2 linked regions of the Saccharomyces cerevisiae S288C genome follow. The protein of the gene in region 2 interacts with the protein of the main gene of each other region in a pairwise test. Each region holds a gene or a part of one and is shown on either strand. Other genes may lie near its edges.

The links.
Region 1: the proteins of SNO2 (region 2) and SNZ3 interact in a two-hybrid assay, tested with the Saccharomyces cerevisiae proteins (2 studies listed by BioGRID).

What each region holds. Positions count from the first base shown.
Region 1 is NC_001138.5:9,188-12,804, reverse strand, and holds SNZ3 (pyridoxine biosynthesis protein SNZ3), read right to left. Parts: upstream 1,443-3,617; coding exon 546-1,442; downstream 1-545. Other genes in the region: SNO3 (putative pyridoxal 5'-phosphate synthase), read left to right, coding at 1,836-2,504; DDI3 (cyanamide hydratase), read right to left, coding at 2,583-3,260. UniProt on the Saccharomyces cerevisiae protein: Catalyzes the formation of pyridoxal 5'-phosphate from ribose 5-phosphate (RBP), glyceraldehyde 3-phosphate (G3P) and ammonia. The ammonia is provided by a SNO isoform.
Region 2 is NC_001146.8:11,380-14,407, reverse strand, and holds SNO2 (putative pyridoxal 5'-phosphate synthase), read left to right. Parts: upstream 1-1,531; coding exon 1,532-2,200; downstream 2,201-3,028. Other genes in the region: pyridoxine biosynthesis protein SNZ2, read right to left, coding at 245-1,141; DDI2 (cyanamide hydratase), read right to left, coding at 2,279-2,956. UniProt on the Saccharomyces cerevisiae protein: Catalyzes the hydrolysis of glutamine to glutamate and ammonia as part of the biosynthesis of pyridoxal 5'-phosphate. The resulting ammonia molecule is channeled to the active site of a SNZ isoform.

The sequences.
Region 1 (3,617 bases), on a different chromosome or scaffold from region 2:
GCTGTCGTCGCAAGAGATTGATGTTGCTTATTTTGCTATAACAGCACCATTTTCATAATCTGAATAAGTAATATTTCAAGCCTTCTGCTAGTTGAATAATTCGTATATTTCATAGTTCATGAGCCGTTCAATTGGAACTGTACTCATTGCATCATAGCCAAAAACCGATAAATGCATTAATGTTGTCACCTCCAGGTGATTTGCTGTCTTTATGCACTAACGCGCCAATCTCGTCCCCCTAAAAAATTAAGCCGACTCATCGCCTAATAGCATATAATAATCTTCCTCGAAAAGAATATACATGCATATTTGTAAACACATATATATATACGTAAACATACATATGTATATACGTGAACGATTGTGCCCTTTAGGCAAGGCCAATGTGAAAGACTGATAGGATGAAAAAGTTTTAACGTTTAATTCTCATATATACAAACTGGCTGAATATGGTTTCCATGTTGTGCTACATAATATATAGAAACTACAATAGCCGACTGCCCCTTCGAAGGAAACAAATTAGCGTTGTGTGAGCATCGCTAGTTCTACCATCCGATTTCAGAAAGTCTTGCACCGTTTTTGCCTCCTGCTTCATTAATTGATTGGATGGAAATACCACCCATCAAGTCACCCAAATCGCTGGAAACTTGCAATAGTTTTGCTGGGTTATCGTAGTGAGTCGTGGCTTCAACGATAGCACATGCTAACTTCTCAGGATCTGACGATTTGAATATACCTGAGCCGACGAAAACACCTTCACAACCCAATTGCATCAATAGAGCAGCGTCTGCTGGAGTAGCAACTCCACCAGCAGCAAAATTGACTACAGGTAGCTTTCCCTCTGATAGTGTTGTCTTCAGCAAGTCGACAGGGACGCGTAATTCTGTGGCCTTAGCTGCAAAATCGGATTCGGTCTTCAAATTCTCTTTATACTGCTGGATCTCCGCCTTAATCTTGGTGATGTGCTTGACGGCCTCGGAAACGTCACCGGTACCTGCTTCACCTTTGGTACGGATCATTGCAGCACCTTCGTTTATTCTTCTCAAAGCCTCACCTAGATCCTTGGCACCGCAAACAAATGGCACCTTGAAGTTATGCTTCTCAATGTGATGTGTCCAATCAGCTGGAGTCAAAACCTCACTTTCGTCAATGTAGTCTACTTGCAGCTCTTCCAGGATCTGTGCCTCCACGAAGTGTCCAATACGGACCTTTGCCATCACCGGAATTGAAACAGCTTCCATAATTTCTTTGATCATGCGAGGATCTGACATACGGCATACTTGGCCAGACTTGCGCATGTCAGCTGGAATGCGTTCCAATGCCATTACAGCACAAGCGCCCGCTCTTTCTGCGATAATAGCCTGTTCAGGTGTGACGACGTCCATAATCACACCGCCCTTTAACATTTGGGCAAGCCCAGTTTTAACCTTGAATTCTGACATTTTTGTCTTTTTTACGATATACTTATTTTTCTATTATAGTTCCTTTCCCAGAAGGGTCGAATAATAATGTGACTATGGTGGAGAAACATACTAGTTTTATATATGTGTGTGTGTGTGTGTGAAATTCATTCCACATGAACAAATAATTCTGCTCTTTCCTTGCCACAACATTTTGCCATTCAAACGATATAATGTGCCTACTACTGTTATGCCATTGGGCGGCGCGTCACTTTATTGGAAACTGTAAGAATAGTTGAGCCATCTTTCATCATTCAGCTACAAAAAAAAAAAAAAGTTATTCATTGATAAAAGCCCATTTTTTTCTGTTTGAGTAGCAAGCACACTTACCATGACCCTGGTTGCTGGGGCCAAGACAAGAGTAATATCTCAAAAATGACCGTCGTTATCGGAGTCTTGGCATTACAGGGTGCGTTCATTGAACATGTGCGACACGTAGAAAAATGCATCGTCGAAAACAGGGATTTCTATGAAAAAAAACTATCTGTGATGACAGTGAAGGATAAAAATCAACTAGCTCAATGTGATGCATTGATCATACCTGGGGGAGAGTCGACTGCAATGTCCCTTATTGCAGAAAGAACAGGATTTTACGACGATCTCTACGCATTCGTACACAACCCAAGCAAGGTAACCTGGGGTACTTGTGCAGGTTTGATTTATATTTCACAACAATTATCTAACGAAGCAAAACTGGTCAAGACGCTGAATTTACTAAAGGTTAAAGTAAAAAGAAATGCATTTGGGAGACAAGCTCAGTCTTCTACCCGGATTTGCGACTTTTCAAACTTTATTCCTCACTGCAATGATTTTCCTGCTACTTTTATAAGAGCCCCAGTAATAGAAGAGGTGCTGGATCCTGAACATGTGCAGGTCCTGTACAAATTAGATGGGAAGGATAATGGTGGTCAAGAACTAATTGTTGCCGCTAAGCAAAAAAACAATATTCTTGCGACATCATTTCATCCGGAATTGGCAGAAAACGATATACGGTTTCACGACTGGTTCATCAGAGAATTTGTTCTTAAAAACTACAGTAAATAAAAGGGACGTATAGTATAGTTATGGAGAAAGGAGATCATCACTGTTCATTCTGAACTCGCCTCATTGAAACTTACCTATTTAGTTATACCCAAATGTATTGCATATGACTTTCTTTGAAAAATCATCACCCAAAGAACTGGTGTGGCCCCACGGTTTTCTCGAGTTTTCAGTGTCCACCACCGTAGCAAAACATGATAACCAGTGCAGTCTTGGAAATTGCTCGTTAATGGCACTAACTGTATCGATATGAATCAGATCGGTATTGGATCCGACATTGTCAAGCGTAGTAGCAATCTGCAGAATGAGCCCCAAGGTGGTAATGTAGCCAGTCCCAGTCAAATCCTGGTGACGAATGATGGCCTCAGTTACTGCATCTGCATAGTCCTGATTTCCACCTGTCGCATTAAATACAAGCTCCCTTGAAAGTATGCCACCATAATACTCAAATGACATCTTCGTGGCTCTCATATTCTTATCTGTTGTTGCAATATCATGAAGTAAGCAGGTGACGTACAAAACTTCCTGATCCAAGTCCCATGCTGGAAATTGGTCTCTTATGATAGCTACACTATATTGAAAAACACGCAAAGAGTGGTTTAGAACGGGGGCAGTCAATTCTTTAGCGGCATATTCCCGAACAAGCCTAGCAGTTTCACTGTTTGGAGGCGGAACAACGGCCCGTGGTCTAGGTGCATTCACCACTGGAATGGCCTTTTCTACCTCTCTAGGAACTCTTACAAATCCGTACTGTGACATGATTGATTCTTTTGAAGAGAAGCAAGGCAAAAAACAGTACGAAGCAACTTCATGTTAACAGAAGAAGAAGGAAACTAACCCATTTATATATAATTTTATGAGGGGACCGATCCTAAAAAGTTATTTGTAAAGCTCGTACAAGATTGATTGATGACTTCCCGACAAACTATTGTGCGGTGGAGTATTTTGTATTATAGAAATGATAGTGTCCATGCACTTTAATAAGATCTTTTTTGCGGACATTTGTTTCGGGGCCGTCCAAAGTTGTTTGATGGTATAACTCCGCATATTTGACATCTTTCTCTTTTAAACCAGTATCAGTTAGTCTTTTGCAATTTTCTTGAGGGATTCAGTCTA
Region 2 (3,028 bases):
CATGCATATTTGTAAACACATATATATATACGTAAACATACATATGTATATACGTGAACGATTGTGCCCTTTAGCAAGGCCAATGTGTAAGACTGATAGGATGAAAAAGTTTTAACGTTTAATTCTCATATATACAAACTGGCTGAATATGGTTTCCATGTTGTGCTACATAATATATAGAAACTACAATAGCCGACTGCCCCTTCGAAGGAAACAAATTAGCGTTGTGTGAGCATCGCTAGTTCTACCATCCGATTTCAGAAAGTCTTGCACCGTTTTTGCCTCCTGCTTCATTAATTGATTGGATGGAAATACCACCCATCAAGTCACCCAAATCGCTGGAAATTTGCAACAGTTTTGCTGGATTATCGTAGTGAGTCGTGGCTTCAACAATAGCACATGCTAACTTCTCAGGATCTGACGATTTGAATATACCTGAACCGACGAAAACACCTTCACAACCCAATTGCATCAATAGAGCAGCGTCTGCTGGAGTAGCAACTCCACCAGCAGCAAAATTGACTACAGGTAGCTTTCCCTCTGATAGTGTTGTCTTCAGCAAGTCGACAGGGACGCGTAATTCTGTGGCCTTAGCTGCAAAATCGGATTCGGTCTTCAAATTCTCTTTATACTGCTGGATCTCCGCCTTAATCTTGGTGATGTGCTTGACGGCCTCGGAAACGTCACCGGTACCTGCTTCACCTTTGGTACGGATCATTGCAGCACCTTCGTTTATTCTTCTCAAAGCCTCACCTAGATCCTTGGCACCGCAAACAAATGGCACCTTGAAGTTATGCTTCTCAATGTGATGTGTCCAATCAGCTGGAGTCAAAACCTCGCTTTCGTCAATGTAGTCTACTTGCAGCTCTTCCAGGATCTGTGCCTCCACGAAGTGTCCAATACGGACCTTTGCCATCACCGGAATTGAAACAGCTTCCATAATTTCTTTGATCATGCGAGGATCTGACATACGGCATACTTGGCCAGACTTGCGCATGTCAGCTGGAATGCGTTCCAATGCCATTACAGCACAAGCGCCCGCTCTTTCTGCGATAATAGCCTGTTCAGGTGTGACGACGTCCATAATCACACCGCCCTTTAACATTTGGGCAAGCCCAGTTTTAACCTTGAATTCTGACATTTTTGTCTTTTTTACGATATACTTATTTTTCTATTATAGTTCCTTTCCTAGAAGGGTCGAATAATAATGTGACTATGGTGGAGAAACATACTAGTTTTATATATGTGTGTGTGTGTGTGTGAAATTCATTCCACATGAACAAATAATTCTGATCTTTCCTTGCCACAACATTTTGCCATTCAAACGATATAATGTGCCTACTACTGTTATGCCATTGGGCGGCGCGTCACTTTATTGGAAACTGTAAGAATAGTTGAGCCATCTTTCATCATTCAGCTACAAAAAAAAAAAGTTATTCATTGATAAAAGCCCATTTTTTTCTGTTTGAGTAGCAAGCACACTTACCATGACCCCGGTTGCTGGGGCCAAGACAAGAGTAATATCTCAAAAATGACCGTCGTTATCGGAGTCTTGGCATTACAGGGTGCGTTCATTGAACATGTGCGACACGTAGAAAAATGCATCGTCGAAAACAGGGATTTCTATGAAAAAAAACTATCTGTGATGACAGTGAAGGATAAAAATCAACTAGCTCAATGTGATGCATTGATCATACCTGGGGGAGAGTCGACTGCAATGTCCCTTATTGCAGAAAGAACAGGATTTTACGACGATCTCTACGCATTCGTACACAACCCAAGCAAGGTAACCTGGGGTACTTGTGCAGGTATGATTTATATTTCACAACAATTATCTAACGAAGAAAAACTGGTCAAGACGCTGAATTTACTAAAGGTTAAAGTAAAAAGAAATGCATTTGGGAGACAAGCTCAGTCTTCTACCCGGATTTGCGACTTTTCAAACTTTATTCCTCACTGCAATGATTTTCCTGCTACTTTTATAAGAGCCCCAGTAATAGAAGAGGTGCTGGATCCTGAACATGTGCAGGTCCTGTACAAATTAGATGGGAAGGATAATGGTGGTCAAGAACTAATTGTTGCCGCTAAGCAAAAAAACAATATTCTTGCGACATCATTTCATCCGGAATTGGCAGAAAACGATATACGGTTTCACGACTGGTTCATCAGAGAATTTGTTCTTAAAAACTACAGTAAATAAAAGGGACGTATAGTATAGTTATGGAGAAAGGAGATCATCACTGTTCATTCTGAACTCGCCTCATTGAAACTTACCTATTTAGTTATACCCAAATGTATTGCATATGACTTTCTTTGAAAAATCATCACCCAAAGAACTGGTGTGGCCCCACGGTTTTCTCGAGTTTTCAGTGTCCACCACCGTAGCAAAACATGATAACCAGTGCAGTCTTGGAAATTGCTCGTTAATGGCACTAACTGTATCGATATGAATCAGATCGGTATTGGATCCGACATTGTCAAGCGTAGTAGCAATCTGCAGAATGAGCCCCAAGGTGGTAATGTAGCCAGTCCCAGTCAAATCCTGGTGACGAATGATGGCCTCAGTTACTGCATCTGCGTAGTCCTGATTTCCACCTGTCGCATTAAATACAAGCTCCCTTGAAAGTATGCCACCATAATACTCAAATGACATCTTCGTGGCTCTCATATTCTTATCTGTTGTTGCAATATCATGAAGTAAGCAGGTGACGTACAAAACTTCCTGATCCAAGTCCCATGCTGGAAATTGGTCTCTTATGATAGCTACACTATATTGAAAAACACGCAAAGAGTGGTTTAGAACGGGGGCAGTCAATTCTTTAGCGGCATATTCCCGAACAAGCCTAGCAGTTTCACTGTTTGGAGGCGGAACAACGGCCCGTGGTCTAGGTGCATTCACCACTGGAATGGCCTTTTCTACCTCTCTAGGAACTCTTACAAATCCGTACTGTGACATGATTGATTCTTTTGAAGAGGAGCAAGGCAAAAAACAGTACGAAGCAACTTCATGTTAACAGAAGAAGAAGGA